Linked DNA regions of Tamandua tetradactyla. The protein of the gene in region 3 purifies or fractionates together with the protein of the main gene of each other region. This does not show direct contact. Links are inferred from orthologs where the notes say so. Each region holds a gene or a part of one and is shown on either strand. Other genes may lie near its edges.

Region 1 (7,834 bases), on a different chromosome or scaffold from region 3:
CAAACAAATCTATATAAAGAGCTAGTTTCAGTGCTCTTCTTTCAAAGTATTTATTTTACACCAATACCACACAGCATGGCATCTTAAAACACTGACATATAACTCCCTAATAAGATAACGCAAAAACAAAATTGATTATCTTATTAGAAACAAGATACACCATCACCTTATAGTCTTCAAACATTATTGCACTTTAACTTTCATAATTTGACAATATATATATATTCATGAAACAATCTGCAGACAACTACTGTTTAACAAAGAACACTTTTAAGTAGACATGACTGTCCTAAATTGTTTATTAGGTATGAATTTTACAAACTTTACTTATATTAGCGATAACGATGGAGCTGGAGAGTATTGCGCCTTCTCCAAGCTGCACGGCGAGAACCACCAATTGTGTGGTGGAACTTGTGGCCCTTTCCAAGGCCACGGCTCTTGCGGCCTGCAGATGTCAGCCCACGCATCTCCCTGTGCTTGTGGACTGGCTTGGTGATCCACTGGGTGTCAGGATTCCTTCTGATAGCTTTATGGAATGGATCAATGAGGATAACCTCAAAGAATTTGTATGTGGAATCTTCACCAACCCAGTAAGAATTCAGGACTCTCAGCGCCCCGCAGTGGCGTCCAGCTCGCTCCTAGAATAGGAAAACAGGCACAAGGTTACTCACATATCTCACAGTGGCAATTAGAAAGCTAGAATTCTAACTAGTTTACCATTATACAAGAAACTGCAATTGTACACTAGGCTACTCAAATATTTACTAAGTATCCCCCAAGTGACTAGCACTTTTTTATTTCATACTTAAAATGAAATAAAAAAAAGTTCAGTGACAATGTAGTATGGCAGACTAACATCCTTAGATTTAAAAATCTCCTCCCTAACTAAAGCATGTAAAGGTACCAATAACTGGCTAAAAAACAGGATTCTGGAACCTTATCTTTTTCTAATATAATTTGGGAGAGGTTGGCAAATCTTTAGGGCCAGAAAATATTTTAGGCTTTGCAGGTCATATTTGGTCTCTTGCATATTCTTCATTGCCCCCTGTCCTTTTAAAAACAAAACAAAAACACAACCCTTCAAGAAGGGAGCTCAAGGGGGGGGCGGGGGCACACACTGGTTTGCCAACCCCTACAGCAGGGCAGTTTAACTGACTAAGCCAGAAAAAAATATTGAAAAATAAGACCAGAGACATGAATAAATGCAGACTCTATAGACCTTCGGAATCTATTCAAGACAGTTTCCTATCTTTCAAAAGGTAAGGTTCCACAGGTTCACACTAATTGAAAAACCCAACATTCCCATTATATATTAAGACCAGAAAGGTAAGCGACAGAGTCTTCATATGCTGACAGCAACTGCTTTTTACTTAGTAAAGCTCCCAAAATCCTATTTTATACAAATAAATATCAGAAAACTTGCTCAAGTCCTTCTCCCTCACCATCTAACAATACTACCTGAAATAAAAACTACTTACCTCAGCAACAGACTGAAGGCTTCTAGCAAACTTGAGCTGGTTAACACCATGATGGACAGGCTTGCCATAGGTTGCACCCTTAGGAACCGGGCGTTTGCGGCCACCACGGCGCACTCGAATCCTATAGATGACATAACCTATACAGAAAGGATCATTATGGTTTTAAAGAAAGTCTCAAGGGTGGGAGACTCAATGACTTGTCACTAAAGCTTCAACACCAAATAGATTTCATCTTTTACGGAAATAAAACTACTCAAAACCAGGGTATGAAGTTTTCTTTAAAAATAAAAAACAAAACACACATCCCAGTATCTTGCAAAGTTCTCTATATATTATTGAGTTGGATATTACTAATCATTTGGGAAGTAGATAAGTTTCTCCCTCCCACTCATTAGTTGGTTTAGACCAGTCTAATACAGATTTATAAACTCTGGCACACCATTTTAGACAATTGTGTTCAGTCATTTACTAGTCTGGATCTAGCTGAACCAGAAGATGGCTTTTGCCAAAGCCTTTTGTGAAGACATTGTGCGACGGTGCTTCGTACTAATCCCCAGTTACTAGCTTTTCTCAAGAAATTACACCCAACCATCTGCACAGAGACCACACACCTTGCTTGGCCTTGTAGCCCAGTCTGCGCGCTTTATCAGGCCGAGTGGGACGGGGGGCCCTGTGGAGCGCAGAGAGCTGGCGGTACTGCCAGCAGCGGACCCTCAGAAGAAAGCGCATGACATCGGACTGCTTCTTCCTCCATAGCTCCTGTATGTACTTATAGGCACCCATCTTGGCTTACCTTTGAGATAAAACTGGGTATTAGAAAATATGCATCCATTTAGAAGCCCCCACCCGTCCATCTTAGTTCCCCACCAGGCACAAGGAAGTCAGTGGAATTAAATGGCTCTTCACGATCTGAAGGGGAGAGTCAGGCCAACCCCCACCTCCGCGTCCTAGAAGAGCCGCTAGGCACGTTTTTGCTAAACGAATGAATGGAGCTTTGCTTGGAGACTGAGGGGCGGGTAACAACGGGAGTGGTAGGCTACAGCGTAAACCAGGGTTTGATACCAAAGAAGATACTGACGCCGCCGCGCGCTAACTCTCGAGAAAAAGCACTTACCCCACCCCCACCAATCGCTCTAGCCTCACGGCGCCTCAGACCCGGCTTCCCACTCCCCAGTTTGACATCACCCTTTCCCTCAGGCTCCGGGCCCAGCGCGAACTCGCTCCGCCATCACATCTACCCCTAGCCTGCCCAGGGGATTCTTCTCCATTTCCGCACTGCCCCGCATCCTGACCGAACTCGCGCCGCACAGGAAGCAGGAGGAGCTACGAGGACGCAGGGTAGGAGAGTTTGGATGGCTGAGGCGAAAAGAGATTAGCGGTGGATGGATAAGCGTTCCTCCGGGCCACAGCTTACCTGATGGCTGCCGCCAGACGGAAAGGAAGTAGCCTTTCTCCCACAATTCCCTTTAGGCTCCTCCCCCCACAGCAGCGAACCTCTTTCCGGTGGAAGGCTGAGGCGGCCCAGAGCCTCACGGGAAATGCAGTTCTGGCTTCAGCTTATGGTTGGAGCTCTGCCGGGTTGGGCGTAGCGTCCCCTATCGTCCCGCCCCCTGCTCCGCAGAATTCGAACCTGAGAGGTCGCGGCTTTGCGAAAGGTGTGTTGGTGGTAAGGCCTCGGCTTGCTAGAGTGCGGGACAGTCCCGCCGCTGGGAAGAGGCAAGTTGGGGGCGGTGCTCCAAAGCCCGCGGGCTTTGAGCACCGTGAGGTGGTGCCTGCCGCTGTCATCAGGTTCCGCAGAGGTGTGCGAAGCCGTTTCACGCATCGCGGACTCCTCACTTGAGACGTAGGTCCGGTCTCCCGGGTGTGATTTTTCCTCTGTCAGGACGGGCGCCGAAATTTGGGGTCTCACGGGGTTCTGACAGACGCCCGCGACGCCTCTCCAGCCCCTAACCGAGGCCTTCGTGGGACTGAGGCCCGCGGGCTGTGCCTCTTGCGGTCTTCCAAGGCTGAAATCCCCGCAGGCCCCGGCTCGGGGGAATTTTATTCGAAAAAGATTCCGGGAGCCGGGGAAGGGCGACTCGGCACCTTCGGACTTGGTCCCAGATTTGCTACCTCACAACTACGGTTTTTTAGAAGAGCAAAATGTTTTATTTGCCAAACCTGTTAGGCAAGTGCGAGTGTGTTCGGAAAAAACGTCGAGAAAATCCTGAAATGCTGGCAAACGCCGCTGCGTTCCTAACTGAAAAATAGTTTATTGCCTTTTTTGCGTTTCCGGAATATTTTCGTTCTTGCTGTAGGCTTGCGGTTTTAATTCCCTATCAAATTATAGGTTTAAATGTGGTCAGTGTTTAAGAGAGTCATATTTATATTCGAAATCATTAACAGTTTTCGTTTTTTTTTCTCCATTAGTGGGTCATATTTTATCTTATTTTAATCGCAGCTTTTTCATTCTAAGAGCTATCACCTGGTTCATTTAGTCATTCAACAAATGTATTTTAAGTGCTTAATGTGTACTAGGATCTGTCCTAACTGCTGGGAATGCAGCAGTGAACATCGCAGACAGAAATTCTAGCCTTGGAAACGGGCACTAAATATAAATATCATAAATTAGATATGTGTTGTGTTTGTGTGTGGTTAAGTGCTAAGGAAAAAAAATTAAGGTGGGGCAGGGATAAGGGGTATTGAGTAGGATTAGCAAGTTTAGATAGAGAGTTTGGAGTGAGTCTCTTTGAGAAGATGACATTTGAGAAGACTTCAAGGATGTGAGCCTTGACAGAGCGGGAATAATGTCAAGCAGGGGGAAAGGGCCAAAGCTGGAGCACGCCAGGATTAACAGAGGAATAAGAAGGTGATTTGGCTTTCTCAACTGTAGGAGAAAGTAGAGAATTCCCTCAGAGAGGTGAAGGTTCTTAAAAGGATTTTGAGTGTTTATGAAATTGGAAACCTTTGGAAGGTTTTGAGCAGAAGAATGGCTTCATGTGATTTACGTTTTAAAAGTATTTTGCTTTGGCCCTAAAATGAAGGGGAAAAGAGTTCAAACAGGGAGACCTGTTAAGAGGTTGTGTTAGTTCCATATTGCCGCTGTAATAAATTTACTGGTTAAAAACACAAATTTATTATCCAACAGTTATGTAGGTCAGAGGTCTCACAAAGCTGAAATCACAGTGTCAGTAGGTCTGCATTCTTTCTGGAGCTTTTTGGAAAGAATCTGTTTTCTTGCATTTTCCAGTTTCTAGAGGCCACCTGCAATCCTTGGGTCCCAATCCTGCCCTTCATCTTCAAAGTCGGCAGGTTGGCAACCTCAAATCTTTGTAAGAATGAAGATCCTTCTGATTACCTTGGGCCCACCTGAATAATCCAAGATAATTTTCCCAACAGAAGGTACTTAATCATATCTGCGAAGTCCATTATACCACATAAAATAACATGTTTTGGGGATTAGGATTCCATATCTTTGGGAAGGGAAACAGGTGAGAGAAGATTGTACTCAGATGCCTTCAGTTAATGATAAAAGTTAAGTGGTGCAACCGTATATGTGTTTTGAAGGTAGAGCTAACAAGATTTGTGTATGTAGGGTATAAAAGAAAGGAGTCAAGAATGGCTTACTACAAAGTTGGATGAATCATTTAGAAGGAAGATTCTGCTAATGTGAATAATTACTGCTAATTTCTATGTTTTGCGAGATTTAAGTTTTTATTTCCAGTGATTTTGAGATTCCTGAGGGCAGGAATCGTGTCTGTTTTGGCTGCTTAATTTATTCCTAATGTCTGACATTATGGTAGGTCTTCAATAAGTGTATTTGCTGAATGAATAGAAGATTAGTAAGGTGGCATCTGCTTTATTGTATTTTATTACGTGCAACATTGTTTGAAAAATCCTTTTTTTAATGTTCTTTATTTTATTTTTTTATTTTTATTAATTAACGGAAAAAAAATTAACCCAACATTTAGAAATCATACCATTCCACATATGCAATCAGTAATTCTTAACATCATCACATAGATGCATGATCATCGTTTCTTAGTACATTTGCATCGGTTTAGAAGAACTAGCAACAAAACAGAAAAAGATATAGAATGTAATATAGAGAAAAAATAAAAGTAATAATAATAGTAAAAAAAAAACCTATACCTCAGGTGCAGCTTCATTCAGTGTTTTAACATGATTACTTTACAATTAGGTATCATTGTGCTGTCCATTTTTGAGTTTTTGTATCTAGTCCTGTTGCACAGTCTGTATCCCTTCAGCTCCAATTACCCATTATATAACCCTGTTTCTAACTCCTGCTGGATTCTGTTACCAATGACATATTCCACGTTTATCCTCGAATGTCGGTTCACATCAGTGGGACCATACAGTATTTGTCCTTTAGTTTTTGGCTAGACTCACTCAGCATAATGTTCTCTAGGTCCATCCATGTTATTACATGCTTCATAAGTTTATCCTGTCTTAAAGCTGCATAATATTCCATCATATGTATATACCACAGTTTGTTTAGCCACTCTTCTGTTGATGGACATTTTGGCTGTTTCCATCTCTTTGCAATTGTAAATAATGCTGCTATAAACATTGGTGTGCAAATGTCCGTTTGTTTCTTTGCCCTTAAGTCCTTTGAGTAGATACCCAGCAATGGTATTGCTGGGTCGTATGGCAATTCTATATTCAGCTTTTTGAGGAACCGCCAAACTGCCTTCCACAGTGATTGCACCATTTGACATTCCCACCAACAGTGGATAAGTGTGCCTCTTTCTCCGCATCCTCTCCAGCACTTTTCATTTTCTGTTTTGTTGATAATGGCCATTCTGGTGTGTGTGAGATGATATCTCATTGTGGTTTTGATTTGCATTTCTCTAATGGCCAGGGACATTGAGCGTCTCTTCATGTGCCTTTTGGCCATTTGTATTTCCTCTTCTGGTAGGTGTCTGTTCAAGTCTTTTTCCCATTTTGTAACTGGGTTGGCTGTCTTTTTATTGTTGAGTTGAACAATCTCTTTATAAATTCTGGATACTAGACCTTTATCTGATATGTCATTTCCAAATATTGTCTCCCATTGTGTAGGCTGTCTTTCTACTTTCTTGATGAAGTTCTTTGATGCACAAAAGTGTTTAATTTTGAGGAGCTCCCATTTATTTATTTCCTTCTTCAGTGCTCTTGCTTTAGGTGTAAGGTCCATAAAACTGCCTCCAATTGTAAGTTTCATAAGATATCTCCCTACATTTTCCTCTAACTGTTTTATGGTCTTAGACCTAATGTTTAGATCTTTGATCCATTTTGAGTTAACTTTTGTATAGGGTGTGAGATATGGGTCCTCTTTCATTCTTTTACATATGGATATCCAGTTCTCTAGGCACCATTTATTGAAGAGACTGTTCTGTCCCAGGTGAGTTGGCTTGACTGCCTTATCAAAGATCAAATGTCCATAGATGAGAGGGTCTATATCTGAGCACTCTATTCGATTCCATTGGTCGATATATCTATCTTTATGCCAATACCATGCTGTTTTGACCACTGTGGCTTCATAATATGCCTTAAAGTCAGGCAGCGCAAGACCTCCAGTTTCGTTTTTTTTCCTCAAGATGTTTTTAGCAATTTGGGGCACCCTGCCGTTCCAGATAAATTTGCTTATTGGTTTTTCTATTTCTGAAAAATAAGTTGTTGGGATTTTGATTGGTATTGCATTGAATCTGTAAATCAATTTAGGTAGGATTGACATCTTAACTATATTTAGTCTTCCAATCCATGAACACGGTATGCCCTTCCATCTATTTAGTTCTTCTGTGATTTCTTTTAGCAGTTTTTTGTAGTTTTCTTTATATAGGTTTTTTGTCTCTTTAGTTAAATTTATTCCTAGGTATTTCATTCTTTTTTTTTTTTTTTTTTTTTTAGAGAGAGGGAGGAAGGGAAGGAAAGACAGAGAAGGAAGGAAGGATGGAAGGAAGGAAGGGAGGAAGAAAGGGAAACATTTTTAAACATTTTCTTGTTTTTTTTTATTATATTTTGTTTGTTTGTTTGTTTTTTTTTTACATGGGCTGGGGCCGGGAATCGAACCGGGGTCCTCCGGCACGGCAGGCAAGCACTCTTGCCCGCTGAGCCACCGCGGCCCGCCAGGTATTTCATTCTTATAGTTGCAATTGTAAATGGGATTCATTTCTTGATTTCCTCCTCAGTTTGTTCATTGCTAGTGTATAGAAATGCTACAGATTTTTGAATGTTGATCTTGTAACCTGCTACTTTGCTGTACTCATTTATTAGCTCTAGTAGTTTTGTTGTGGATTTTTCCAGGTTTTCGACGTATAGTATCATATCGTCTGCAAACAGTGATAGTTTTACTTCTTCCTTCCCAATTTTGATGCCTT
Region 2 (7,309 bases), on a different chromosome or scaffold from region 3:
GGGACTGCACGACAATGAAATGGAAAACCTCTTTCGAGTTTGCCAAATGTCTGCATGAAACTATGACAACAGAAAGGGAAACTGTTCTGTGACATCGGCTTTTCTTTTGGTGGCAAAATAGTGAAGGGATTGGTCCTCAGCCCTCTGCCTAATAATGTAGCAGCTGTGACACACATTTTACAATCACTACTGAACAAGTAGTATCACAGCTTCATAGACTTAAAGGTCCAGATGCAATCAAATTTAAAATGTGGAAAGCCTCTTATAATGAGTTAATAATGATAATTTTTCCCCAATTACACAATTAAGAAAGAGTAACTAAGAAATCAAATTGAGCTAATATGTGATACATAATGAAGCATGTGCTTTCTCCAGCAGATGCCTAGACCTAGGATAGTTACCCTGTGATCACTGTTTATCATGTGATCATCACTTCACTTAAGCACCTTGACCTAGGAGATACAAAGTATTTTACAACTGAGTATAACAGAGATACAGAAATCCAACTAGCCATCCCTAAATTATAAAATAATTCCATTTTAATAAGTCCAATGTAACTACTCTTACCTTTGTAATCAGAGAGGCTGATATCTTTGAACTGACCATCTGGCATAACAGCTGTGGCTTTGAAGTTGGGGGCAGGGTGCCCAATTTTGGCAGTTCCTGAAGACATCTTGCTATCAGCTGCAAAAGACAAATTAGAGAAAATGGATTAATCAGAAACAAACTTAAACCAGCAGCCTTCATTTACTTAGGGATTTAGCTGCAGAAAAAGCAAGGAATTATCCACTGGCTCTAGATACATGCACTAATTGTTTGTTTTTCTCTTTTAAAGAACAAACCAGCAGCCAGGGGACACAATGGAAGGACCAGAATCTGAGCTTTCCGCTTTTGGAACAAACCAGTTATTACAAGTCTGAATCTCAGTCTTTGTTTTCACTTAAAACAATAATTTTTTTATAGGTTGACGTCACCCCTATCACTTTTTCTGAACCATCAATTTATGAAATGGCATTTCTTCTGCATTACTGAACAGAAGCAAAGAAAAGGAAGTGCAGACCCTCAAACCAGAATCTATATGGACAATGGCACACTGAATGTCTAACGTGGTCATATTACCCTTTCTCCAGAATTTGCCTCCACGTGCCTTCATAAAGCGTGAAGCCCGAATGAACTGTTTCCTAGGCCAGTGTGTCAAATCCACACCTTAAAGCCAACCTGACTTTTTAAGAGGCAAGACCAGGATTTTGGTCTTGTCTTCTGTTTAGCCCTAGAAGTCCTTTCAAAAGTGGGTTTCTGACCTCAAGGCCAAAATCATGGGGGGAAAGTAAGTAGAGCAAAAACCAGTTCACTGATAAAAAACAATGTTGCACTAGACTTACCCAGGTCAACACCAAGATAATGAGGATAAGCTTCAACCCAGCAAATTATCTGTTTGAAAGTCCCAAGACCCTATTTTTCCAGTAGGTCCTGAAGCTCTTGGTTCATAATAAGAGAGCCAAAAGAAACTAGGTAAGAACGCCGAGGATCGACCATGGGACACTTGTTACTGCCTGTTTTTTCTTTTGTTTTTTTAATCTTGTAACACCCTTTCAAAGAAACAGTAAGGCTCGCTGCAAATAGGAAACCAAACTACGGGGTGTGACCCTAACAAATATAGCCTCATCCAAACCTACTTTTGAAGGTGCGCCCCCACCACCCCACCCCCAGCCGAAGGGTAAAGGCTGCTCGACTTCCCACCGGTGCAGCCCCCTCAGGGGATCTGCCCAATAACTTAGGCCAGGGCCACACCCCTAAATCCACTTCGGAAAGCTCCAGCATAAGAGTGCGCAGTCTTCAGCGACAGCATGTGGAATTATCTAAAACACATCTCACTCTGCAGATGGGAACATGATGAACGAAAAGGGATGCAAGGTACTCAAGGCTCCACAGCCAAGTCACAGCTCAGAGCAGGAAATGGCGTTTACCCTACCACACGACCAACAAGAAAAGGCAGCCCTCTGCAGCCACAGGTTAGGTTCCAGGTTCATTCTAGAAGATTCCCGAACCCGCCCCGCCCCTCGGGAGGCCAGTCGAGGAGAGCTGCCCCACTACACACCCCGCCCCTCCAAGCCAACCAGCGCCCCCAGTTCGGAATAAGCGAATACTGGAGCCGGCGAAAGTCTCCATCTTCAACCAACCCTCGAGGGGGGGGCCCACGTGGGAGGTGCGCATGTCGCCCGAGGATCGTAGGACGCCAGGCTCTCCCCCGGCCGCCTAAACCACCACAACACCTCCAGAGGAGCCCGTGCAAGCCCCAAGGAGAAGGGGAGGCGGCGGCGGGGGTGGGGTGGGGTGGGGGGGGTGAGTGACGCTCGGCCCCACCGAGGACGCGGTGGACTTACTCACCAAATACCCAAAGAAAGCTACGCAGAACAGCCGGGAAGAGGACGCGCAAAGTCCGCGCGGGGCGCTGTCTATATAACTTGTGAGGCTCTCGCGAGAGTCGAAACGGGTCGGGGGTGCGAGAAGAGGAGATAAGGAGGGGGTTTCTGCCCTGCGCCCCGCCCCCCACCCCCACCCCGCTAGAATGACTCAGCATTTTCCTTGCCGGGGGCGGTGTGAGCGCGGAAACCATCAATCACCTTTTCCCGCCGTTTATTGTTGATGTGCGAGAGCGTGGTCTTTTCTCGTCCGCCCGGAACCCAAAAGCCTTCGTTAAATTTAGGATGTCTGCGGGGCGGGAATAGGGAGGTAGGTGCAATTCCCTTGCTTCTGGAACCCCGGCGCGCTGTGCCCTCAGGGCCCAAACCTGGTTAAAAGTCCTCGCTGCTGCCACGGAGGACCAAGGCAGTTCCTCACCAAGCCCGGAGAACATTAACTAAATGTTTTTCAAATCCGTCTCGGTCCCCGAAGCTTCTGCCAGATTCCTCACCGTTGTTAACTTTTGAGACACCCTCCTTCGTCGTTCACCCAGATCACAGGCTTGCTGCTTTCCATCTCCCATGCATCCCTTACTCTGCGGCTGGAAGGAATCTTTGTGAAATCTGATCATGTCACTCTTCTGACTTGTGGTTAAAAAAACTGGGGCTCTGTAGTCAGTTCCTTGAATTAAAGCTACTATCGTTTTGTGTGACCTTGGGGTAGGATTCTTAATTCTGCTAACCCTCACTTTTTCTGACCTGCAAAATTGGGAGTAATATTAATATTTCATGGTATTGTTGTGAAGATTAACTGATATTAGCTATCTGCGTAAATTACTTATCACCGTACCTAGCTCTTAGTATACATTAGAAACGTTAGCTATTATTTATTATTACTCTCTTAGTCCTCCTGAATTATAATTCTGAACGATGTGAACTGTTGCAACCCTTTAGAATTTTGTTCAAGCCTGAAGAGCCTGTTGCTTCCTAACTGGCCCAGAGAAAAAGTCTTTCAAGACTTAGCTCAAGTTTTACCTTCTCTGAAGCTGTTCCTAAACTTTGGTCGTCCCCAGAATTGATATTCCCTCCATTGTGCCCAAGCAATATAGTCCATGTATCAAAGGAGGGGGAAAAACCTTTTAAGCTGTTTTACTTGTTTACATAGCTTCCTTTTGCTTTTAGACTTTCTGGAGGATAGTGTACTTGGATCACATCCATTCTGTGTCCCCAGGTCACAACAATACCTGATAGAGGAACTCAGTCAGTCAGTGTTTAATAAATAATCTAGTGTCCCCTTTTCTGGGCTTCTACCCCTCCCCCATCTTATTAACTCCCTTGGAGTTATAGCGTGGATAAGAAATGGGAAGTGCTGTGTCATGCTGGCTGAGCATTTCCAATTTTTTTGGTATTTTTCATCCTACCTTGCAAAAGTAATGATTTTTGTAGTTACTTTTTCTTTCTCCAAGGCTGAGCAATTATTTGGCATTACTCATTTTCAGTGGTGGGGGGCCGTAGGGGAGGGAGTTGTTTTGGGCTTAATGCTGGATGTTTATTGCTATGATCAGACTAAACAAAAGCACACAGCCACACTTCAGCCAGAAGAAAATGACCATTTATTGTATTCACCATGCACCAGGCCATGGGCTGGGCCCTTGGGTTTATTTTGTTTCATTTAAGAAACAAAAGAGTGGGGTCCACAGGTACTTCAGTGGTAGAACTCTCACATGCCATACAGGAAACCTGGGTTCAATTCCTGGCCCTTGCACCTCCTTACCCCCCACCCCACCCCACCCCCATAAAAAGAGCCAAAAGGGTTATCTAGGCCCAAGGAAAGATCAACAACCCCTTGGTTATATAAAAAATTTAAATAGGAGGATAGTTCTGAGAAAAGAAAAAATCTGTTGCACACTTGTGTATGTATGTTTATGGAATCTCCTTCCCCAGATAATAGTAAAATTACCAAAATGGGGTAGAGGCTTTTCTCTTTTATCCTCCTACAGGACCTGATACATATCTGTAGCTCTATTTTGACACATATCTCATTATGTTGTCCTCGTTTGTTCACTAGTAGTCTGTCTGGGAAGGACTATTCCTGTTTTATTTGTCTTTGTAGTACCAGAACCTAGCCAGTAAATGGCATGGGAAAATTGCCTAATAAATATTAGAATGTACTGAAGATTTGGGGGATGTGGAATTAAATTATTTGAACTGTGTTTTAGGAAAATTGCTCTGGCAGCTGTGTGATGGGTGAACTTAATAATTAGGACATAAAGGCAAAGAGAACAGCTAAGAGGCTACTGCAAAGATTCAGACAAGAGAAGACTCAGAACCATCATAGGGTATTGGCAGCAGGGATGGAAAGCAGAGAAGATATACAAGGGTTATTTCTACAGGATTTAAGATAAGAAGAAGGGGTAGGTTAAATCCTAGGTTTCTTATCTTGGCAACATAATCAAGGGTGATGCCATTAACCAATGGGATAGGGGACATTGGAGGATACGCAGGTTCTAGGTTAAAAATAATGACAAACATTTATTGAGTACTACCTGTTTTGCAGATGAGGCACCTGATGCCTAAGAAATTTGGGAAATTGTACAAGGTCACAGCTAACATCCATTGAAGTCAGCTTCTAACCTGGGTAGCAGAACCATCGGGTTGCATAATATTCAAATGGAATATTTACATGAACTATAATGTAAAGGTGTCCCCTAGCATTGTGCCTCACAGCTCACAGTGGTCTAAACAGGTGGTATGATTCTGAAATCTACTCTTAAAGGAGAAGATAATCAGTTTAGTTTGAGGCAAACAGCATTTCAGATGCTTATAGGATATTCAGGTGGTGGTGTCCAGAGATTGTCATTGGAGATGTAGATTTGAGAATCAGCAAATCAACAGCACAGAAGTTGAGTTAACACATTCATTGTGCTTCTATTTAACACTCTGCTTTGTCATCAGACATCAAAGAAGAATAAGAATACTGATGTATGTTGAAGGAACTCTAAAAAGCTAGCTAGGGAGAGAGAGATCAGGGAAAGGGGTTCCAAGCTGAGAACAGAGCAGGATAGGAAACAGTATGTGTTTGGGGAACTACTGGTAGTTCAATATTAGTAGAATGCAAATGCCAAGGACTAGAACGTAGAGGAAAGAATGTGGGCAGAAACAGGTCACGATGCACCTCATAAACCAGACTGAGGAGTTTGGATTTTATATCAGGAGGTGTGGGTGATTAAAGAGTTTTGAATATAAGAATGTCCACATCAAGCTCTGTTACTGATCATTCTGGCAGCTGCATAGAGAATAGATTTAGAGGACCAAGAAGATATGGGACCAGTAAGCAGGCTGTTACCAGGACTAGGAGAAAAGAGGTAGAAAGTCTGAGTGAAGGCAGTGTGCCAAGTGTGGAAAGTTGGGATTAGGTGGCAAGAACTTTGCAAGAACTGCAGATTTTCCCAATTTGCAAGAACTGGGAATCATTTATAGGGAGTGAGTCCCAGGGGAACTGAATGAAGAGATGTGCAATTTACAGAAATGTGAAACAGATTTGGGGGAAGATGATAAAGACCCCACTTTGGGGCATGTTGAATTTGGGGTTCCATGAGGAAATGGCCAAGAAGACATGTCGGTTGGATATGTGGAAACTTAAGGAACCCTTCCTATTGTATTCATGTGACCCCTAATACTTAGAAGCGTGATTCCTGGCTCATGGTAAGTACAATAGGATTTGTTAAATAACGTAAAGAATTATATTGATTCTGACATCATAAATAATTATATTGATTCTGACAATATCAAGGATACTTGAAACTGTGAGAATAAATGAGGTCCCTGAGAAGTGGAAAGAAGTGATCCAAGACCAGAACCACAGAGAATTTCTATGGGTTGGGAGAAGGAACAAAAACAATCAAAGATCAAAGGAACAAAAACAGCTAAAAAAGAACAGCATTTTATGGCAAAGTGCCAGTCATGAAAATAAACTGTTTCTCCCAGGAATAATTACTGTTTCCTCTAGTAACCGCCATCATCATTGAAGTGTATTGCACCTGAAACAAGGTAACAAAAAAAAACTGTAGTTTGAAATTTACTAAATTTCCTATAAAATCTTTTAAATTAAAAAAAAAAAAAAAACTAATGAAGTTGTTGATTGATGAGGGACTTGGGTAGGGCTTTGTTAGGAAGAATTGCCTGAGGTGAGGGCAGCTACTGAGAAAATGTTTGCATAAATCCTGTTTTGCTCTATTTCTTAGAAGTGAGGCTTTTTAATAATTTTCTCTGCCCATTTCAAGCGACTATAACTTATTCACTGGGCAAAGCACTGGTTCCTAGCCCAGTTCTTCATAGAATTTAGCTCCCTCCATCTATTATCTTAAGGTAGTTTTCTCAAACAGGAGTAATGTGGTCCCTTGTAAAAAGAAAAACATTGTTGAGGACTTCTAATGTTGGTTTAATTGATTAAATTTAATTAACTTTCATTTTAATTTTTCATTCAAACCATTTATTCAATAGGTTGCCCCATGATACAATATGGAAAGTTATTTCCATGTTAATTGCTCCTGCCCTTACTACTGCTGAACTATTGCAGGATGAAATATATAAGATGAGATTTCTGCGAGCAAATACCTTCCATGAATACAGTGTAGCTCCTTTTGGATTCCACATACCTATATACTGCCTTCACCCTGTGATAATGACTCAATTCTCCTACCACTTTTCTCTGTTTAAGATTAGTGAAACCTTTATTCATACAATGTCCTTTGACATCATCTGGCTTTTGCTTAACAAAGCAGTTGTTACATCTTTGTGCTAATTTGCTGTGGTAGGTTACCTGACTCATCAACAGCCATTGTTCTTTCTTCCTATCAGAACAGATTAGCTAACAGGTAAAGCCATTCAATATGAGTATAAAAGTA
Region 3 (7,539 bases):
CATTTTACCTTTAGAAGTAAAATGAATACATTTAATTTTATCTTCTTTCTCCCAATAAATACATGGTGCTATTTATAAATAAGGAATGAATGTAGAAAGAATGCCAGTAAATGCAAATAATTTATTATAAGGTAGTTCCAAATTAACAAACATGTATATACTGTGGATAAACACTATAGACCTGCAGCATCCAATTTAACCGAAGACCAAGAATTAGCTAAAAAGCGCACACATATACACAGAAAGATAATCTGGCTTGTCAAATGATTTACTTTTTCATCTTATTCCTGAGCCCTCTCACAAAGAGCACTACAGACAAGAAAACTGCTGTTATCAGAGAACTGATGTATTACAGCTCCTGGCCCACTTCTCTGCTCCATCTGTCCTTACCTGTTGCTTGTCTAGTGCTACCTTGAGAGTCACTACAAACATGACTTATCCTGTTTGCCCCTACTTTTGATTCTAAGTGTAAGCCATAGCAAATGGAACAGATGAATAGAATCCTACCAAATGGATCCTCTCAACCCACTCCCAGAACAGTCTGGATAGCTAGAACAGCAATTCTCAAAGTGTGGTCGAGGAAGCCCTCAGGATTTGGGGGGGAAATGAGGAGCCAACACTATTGTCATCATAATACCAAGATGTTATTTACCCTGTTTACTCTCATTCTTACACAAGTGTTCAGTAGAGTCTCCCAGATACGAGATCACTGTAGACCGAATGCAGAAGCAGAGATGAGAATCCAAATCTCTTTTATTAAGCTACACATTAAAGAGACTGGCAAAACTGCAAAGCAATGGCATTCTTCTCACCAATTTTTGTTTTGGTTTTGAAAAATAGCTATTTTTTATAAAGAATATAATTATCCATGTCCCCCTGTAATGACTTTATTATTTATTTCTAAAAATAAATTAATAAATTTAAATTCTCAGTTTTAATTTATAATATGGTAGATATTGATAGATATACCCCACACAAGCTTCTTGGGACCCTCAACAATTTTTAAGAGTGTGCAGTTATCTTGAGACCAAAAAAGTCTGCTAACCTAGATGATATGGTGGATAGATATTGGATTAGAGCTCAGCTGTACATGCATGTGCAGATTTGGAGAAACACACACCTTCCAATCTACTTATTTATACAGTGGTTACTTCAGGGGGAAAAATCCTATCAGATTTTAAAAACCAAGTTTTATTTAAATCCACTAGAGAGAACTAGGTTGCAAAAGACTCTTATTGAAAATCATAGACCAGAAGGGAACCCCCTCACCGAAAGTTACAAAAGCTAGAAAGGGGTGGAACTGGGACCAGAACCCAATAATTTTGTTGAAAAACAAAATTATCACTTTTACTTGTCATAAAATGGAATTACCATCTATCAGCTCTCTGAAAACCAAGTACACCTGTGGTGCTTACAGCTTCAAAGGGCCATACTGGTATCAATCATATTTGATTTCTATAGTTATTAAATTCAAGTCAGCATTTTGGACATTAGTCACCTAAGAGTGGCACCAGTCATAAATGGTAAACTCTGACGTGATTAGGAATAGACTTTTCCCTTTATAATTTCTTTTTAAGTGAGTTTTTTTTCCATTACAAACCTAACATATATACTGGATAAAAATTAGAAATACCTTTCTAAAATTAGAAATACCAGACTTAAAAGGCTAGCTTAGGACTTCAGCTATAACATGCACATACCAAGGAGTATTTCAGGCAGTTAGTTGGCTGATTACTACAATTACTCCTCTTGTAAGCCAGTTAAAAGAATCATGAGTGCTGTTAAATGAAGTATTATAATAACTCTTGGGACGGGCAACAAATTTGTATGGATGAGGGTAAATAGAAGAGAGGGGGATAAAGGAAAAGAGACAAATTAGACTTCAAGTACTATTTTAGCTATTGCTTTGTACACCCTTCAACTATCAAGGGAAAAGCCCTGCTTCTGCTCTATGGGTTTTCTGCGTGTGTTTTAACTTGACGAAGCAAAACAGACCTCCTGGGACTAACTTTTTCCTTTTCACTGTAGATCACAGGTTCGTTCTTTACGTGTAGGGTGTTGGCCACCTGTTCTTCAACCACCATCTCTACCTCCACCTCCTCCTTTGTAGCCACAGCAATGTCACAGCCCATACATGGGGGAGGGGAGCAGTCAGGAACTCGGCTGCAGATGCATTTTTTCCAAACACAATAACCTCAGACAGTGGTCTCAAAGCACTTTTCTATGCTCTTCCAAACCGTGATCTCTCTTTACCCACACATCCCCTACAAACTGGAAAGGACCACTATCCATCCACCGTACGCTCGAGGGAGAAGTTTAAACCTTCGTCCTAGAGATGCTAGATGCAGCAGAGAAGACAGAAACCGAGGCGGTCGAGCGCTGGGAAGGGAGGAAGAGGTGCGGGAGCCGGGAGAGGGAAGGACGACGAGGGGGAGGGGAGACGGCAGCGCATCAGTAGTAACCACCAGAGCACCCCACCGCCCCACCGGGCAGCTGACCCGGCCCGCGAGTTTCTCCCCGGCCGCCTCCAGCCGCGGCTCTCGGGGAGGAGGAAGGAAGGGGTTCCCCGTCCAGGAAGCAGCAGAAGCGGCGGCCGCCTCTAGCCTCACCCTTCTCAGCCCCGCACCGCCCATTCCTCACTGCCCGCGTCGCCGCGTCCCCGCGCCTCCCCCTGCAGACCTCCGCCCGCCCACCCGCCCGCGGGGACTCCGCGCTGGCGCCCCCTCCCCGCCTCTCCGGAGACCCCTAATTCATTCAGTAGCCGCCGGCCCCACCCGGCGCCGGCGAAAAGGGTCGGGACTGGGGTAGGGGCCCAGAGAGGGTGGTTCGCGCCTTACCTCTCTCCCGCACCTGGGAGCAGCCGAGCCTCTGGCCCCTGCCCGCCGCCTTCAGAGCCTCTGCCTCACTGCTAGCTTCCAGTCCGAAATGGCGGGGGCCCGGAGTACTGGCCGAGCAGCCGCCACCGCCGCCGCCACCGCCGCCGCTGCCTGAGCCGCCGCGGCCGCCGCCTAGGAAAATCGAGCGCCGAGCACACTAATGAGTTCGGGGCCGGGCGGCCGCAGAGGGCAGAGCTATCGATGTGTTCCGCGCTCGATTCCTCTTCAGGCCAGCTTGCGGAGAGAGAGCGGCCGAGGGTGGTGTGGGAAGAGGGAAGAGAGGGAGTCGGCGAGCGCCGCGGCGAGGAGGGGGAGGCCAGGCCGGTGGAGGAGGCCGGAGGCTGGACGGGTGTAAGGGGAAAAGATAGAACGGCCCTGTGGTGGGGGTGGGGGGGCTAGGTGGCCGTGGGTGGTGCCTCGCTGGGAGGTGGGGCTTCTGGGGCTGCGCGCCTACCCGCACCCCACTCCTTCCCGCCTCCTAGCCAGGCACCCGCAGGTTCGGACCCGGACGGAACTGCAGTGGTTACCTGCACGCCAGAGACGTCTGAGCGATCGCAACGCACCACTTACACAGAGAGGCTACAAAAATCCTGTCATCCCTCGGATCGGCCAACAACCGTGCACCTTGAATTACCATCATTTATTGCATGTAAATAAGGGAGTCACCAAATGTGAAAAGTGGCTTCAGTGACTTAGGAAGAAACTAAGCATTCATTACCCATCCTGGGGCTTTCTGATCACTTCATGATTATTGCGAAGATCAGCACTCAGAGGCTGGGAATCTAGTCCCAGGCTCAACAAACATGACATGTGACAAACCTTTTAGTCACTAATCTTAATGGGGGGGGGGGGGGGCGGGGGAAGAAAATGTCTTTCTTGACATTTTTGAGGCCATCAGAAGATCGCTCCAAAACGGGACCTCAAATGTAACCCAATGCCATGAAAGCCCAAGCAGAACACAAACTGTTCTTAAGTAGAAGTGCCCTTGACAGTTAAGGCCTAAAGAGAATCATTCAAACATTAATTAGAAGACTGAAGATTAATCAGTTAAGTTCATGAGTTATCCACATTAAACAAGGTAGCGATTAAAAATGTAAACCTATCCCTAGTCTGCTCTGATTAGATACCTAGAAACATAAATTGTTCTGGAGAATTTTGAAGATTCAGGCGTGGCAAACCAGCACCTATACTTAATATGATCACTCCTCTGAGTTCCAGATCTCTCCCCCTAGTTCATATCATCCAATACCAATAAAATAATTTTTTTTTAAGTTCCAGCTATTATGTCTGTTAAACAATGCCTTACACCAGCTGTCACCCTTTACTTCCTACCGTTTACATGGACTGTTAATCAGCAAGGCTTATTCCTGTCTCCCTTGCCTAGCACCCTGGTACCAGGTAGAAGAGGCAACAGAGAAGAAGCAGAAGGCCAGGAAGGGAAAAGAGTGTGCCTGATCTATAACAAGTATTTGCTAAATGTATAAATAAAGTATTGCAACAATTTCATTGAGTAGAACATTTTTTCTCTATTTTACAGGTGAGGAAACAAATTTGGAGAAGTTAAATATTGAGCTCAAGTTCACACAGCTAAAATGGGACGTATCTTTATGTCAGATCATGTACTCCTGCTCCTAACTCCCCACTGGCCCCCTTGCACTTAACACAAAAGTTCAAGTCCTTTCAAAGACTTAAAAAGCCTGAGAGATTTAACCCCACCCCCCCACTCCTTACCTCTCTGAACTCTCACTCTACTATTCTTCCCTTCCTTCCTCCTGTGAACACACACACTGTTTCCTTGCTGTTCCTTGAACCCTTCAGGCAGGCTTCTTCTGCAGGGAATTTGCATTTGCAACCCGCCATCTGGAACATTTGTCCACTATATATCCACAAAACTTACTCCTTCACCTATTATAAATCTTTGTTCAATGCCTTCTTTTAATGAAGTCTTCCCTAAAGATCATCTTTGATATTGAAATTTCCCCCTCTACCCTCAAATCCTTTCTCTCCACCTGCTTTACTGTTCTCCAGAGCACTCATCACATTCTGATGTACCATATAACATTTATCTTTGTCTCTTTCCCATCAGAATGTGAAGTTCAGTGAGCACAGGGATTTTATGTTTTACTTACTGCTATGTTTCCAGTGCCTACGACAGTCTCTGACACAAATAAGTCACTCAGTAAATATTTATAGAATGCAAAATGAATGAGGCCTTCCTTCTAAACTCTGACTCCACTTGAACAGAGTCACTTTCTGTCATCTCCGTCTTACAAAAGTCAACCTTTAAACTCATCCAGGTCACCTTTCTGATAAACCACACGCTAAGGAGCCTAGAAAAGTGCCTGGTACACAATGTACACAATTAATTTGTATAAAGTGAATGAATTTGCACTTATTTATATGTTGCTTGGTACTGTAGAACATTTATTTTGTGCAACTTCAAGTACATGGTAAGCTTTTGTATTCTCTCTCAGTAGCTAATAGAGTTCTCCCTATAGTTGATGTTCCATAAATCTTAAAAGGACTATAGTTTAGAGGGAGGAAATAGCTTTATATAGCACTTTACGCTAATTATAAACATTCTGGCATTAGCAGAAACCTAATCCGTCCACATGGTCTCATTATATCTAGAATCTCTAGGCTCATGATTCCCAAAGCAAATCTGTGCCCCACTATTCCCTCATGCACCCTACACTCCAACTTCACCTCTTCTGTTTTGCTCCCTCAGCGTTCAGTCCTGCATGCTTTTTAAGGAGCCAAAAGCCCGACCACCACCATTGCTCCCTTTCTTTCTTTACACAGAACTTAGAGCAGTGGTTCTCTAACTTCAGTGCTTCTTGAATCATCTGAGATGCTGGTTAGAAACTCAAACGCTTAGGCTCACTAGAGAGTCCATCCAGTTAGTTTAAGGTGGGCCAGAAATCTTTAACGATTGAGGGGATGTTAGACTGTTGGTTAGCAGTCTGCCCTTTGAGAAACTCTGATGTAGATATTCAAATTCTTCTCATCTCCTCTTGATATCTGTACTTTCTGCTGTCTTTCGGGGTTCCTCTCCCCCAAGCCTGGCCACTGTGTTGAATAGTCTCCCTGGCTCTCCTTTTCTTTGCTCTCCCCAAGGACAATCACACAGACCTGTACTATTATCACAGTGGGAAAAGAGAAAGAGAATAACAAACAAGTATAAACATGGGAATTCCAGGTTGCCCTAAGATGTAACTGAAGTTTCTACTGTTATACTCTTGTGCAAAAGCAGCTACATACACACGTGCACATATGCATATCGTTCTGATCCTGTTTTATGGAGATCATGGTGACCCTTTCCTTCATGTGATAGATACCCCCTTCTGTACATACACAAACTTCAAAACAATAGAAATAACCTTGGGTTAGCTTGGCTCTTCTGGGATATAAAAGGCTGAGATATATTCAGAGTGCTGCAGATGCCAAAGGATTGTTTTAAGGAAACAAGGACATTTTAGAAAACTAGACCATCAGTCAGGGAACTTCTGTTCAGTTCAGGGGTCAACTTCAGTTCTTGTGACCCCAAAGTCCCATTCATCCCCTTCAATAAAAAGCATCTATTGCTCCTTCTTTAGTAGTTTTTCTATTCTCATGAATCAGCATCTCTCTGCTTTTTCATCTATAATCTCAGCTTCTTCTGCTGTCTATGCTTCTACTGACCACTCTCTGTGACTTACATTCAAAAGATCCCTAGAGAAAGGATTTAGCTGCAAATGTCGATCATTATACAAAAGGAAGGTTCTTTATGGGATGCAATTTTCTTTGACAGGCTGCCTGACTGGTGGTTGGACTTCTTTATGTTTGGTGGAGACCATTGCCTTTGTTTATTTGTGAATCTTGGGACCAGAATAGCAGTGCACAGACCAGGGAACTTACACTGGAGGAGCCAACTGTGGAGGTTCTCATGGATTCCACTTCAGAACAACCTCTTTTCTCAGGTGGCTAATTTGTACCACTGAGTAGGTGCTATTTAGTTCTCTTACCCAAGACATTATCTCCTCTGGAAACTTATTTCATTAGACTTTGTCTTCATTATTTGCATTTTCTTATAGTGCTCAGCACATAGTAGGTCCTTTATAAATATTTACTGAAATGAATGAAATTATAGCAAAACCTCAGCCCTGTCTTCTCATAGTTCCTTCATTCTCCTCTGGCCAATTTCCTGGACCATTTCTAAATGGAAATCCTGTCATCATCTCAGATGCCAGTCCAAAATCAAATTCTCCATTTTAGCCTCCCAGCCTAATTCCCTCTCCTATTTTTTCCATCTTACTTGAGTAACATCACTGTCCTTAAAATCATTTAAACTAGGAAACAAATTAATTTCTAACTAAGTCCCCATTCACATTGACTATGGCACCTTTTAATTATACTTTCCAGGTATTTTCTCATATCTGCCTCTTTCTGCACTCCTTCCTTCACACCTGCTTTTCTAGAACAGCTTCCTCACTGACTTCCCCACCTCCTGGCTTTCTGTTTTTCAATTCAGACCATATGCTTTTGCTGAATTAATCTTCCTTACACGTTTCTTTCATCATTATCAAACATTTACTCAGCACCTACTCCATACAAACTGCACACATGATGAATTTTTAAAGTATAAAGAGCTACAAGCTAAGTATCTAGTGAGTGCCAAAGATGA

The links. Proteins that work in one complex are often made in the same cells at the same time.
Region 1: the proteins of KRAS (region 3) and RPL15 purify together in Homo sapiens (affinity purification with mass spectrometry; 3 studies listed by BioGRID and IntAct, with this or other methods). This does not show direct contact. The link is inferred for Tamandua tetradactyla from reciprocal best matches to the Homo sapiens genes KRAS and RPL15.
Region 2: the proteins of KRAS (region 3) and PRDX1 purify together in Homo sapiens (affinity purification with mass spectrometry; 3 studies listed by BioGRID and IntAct, with this or other methods). This does not show direct contact. The link is inferred for Tamandua tetradactyla from reciprocal best matches to the Homo sapiens genes KRAS and PRDX1.

What each region holds. Positions count from the first base shown.
Region 1 is NC_135341.1:64,395,697-64,403,530, forward strand, and holds RPL15 (large ribosomal subunit protein eL15), read right to left. Parts: upstream 3,021-7,834; 5' UTR 2,893-3,020; intron 2,795-2,892; exon of another isoform or gene 2,771-2,794; intron 2,272-2,770; 5' UTR 2,262-2,271; coding exon 2,090-2,261; intron 1,616-2,089; coding exon 1,479-1,615; intron 639-1,478; coding exon 333-638; 3' UTR 282-332; downstream 1-281.
Region 2 is NC_135328.1:177,773,815-177,781,123, reverse strand, and holds the start of PRDX1 (peroxiredoxin-1), read right to left. Parts: upstream 3,021-7,309; 5' UTR 2,915-3,020; intron 2,519-2,914; exon of another isoform or gene 2,389-2,518; intron 685-2,388; 5' UTR 674-684; coding exon 568-673; intron 1-567. UniProt on the Homo sapiens protein: Thiol-specific peroxidase that catalyzes the reduction of hydrogen peroxide and organic hydroperoxides to water and alcohols, respectively.
Region 3 is NC_135333.1:88,116,120-88,123,658, forward strand, and holds the start of KRAS (GTPase KRas), read right to left. Parts: upstream 3,012-7,539; 5' UTR 2,838-3,011; intron 1-2,837. UniProt on the Homo sapiens protein: Ras proteins bind GDP/GTP and possess intrinsic GTPase activity. Plays an important role in the regulation of cell proliferation.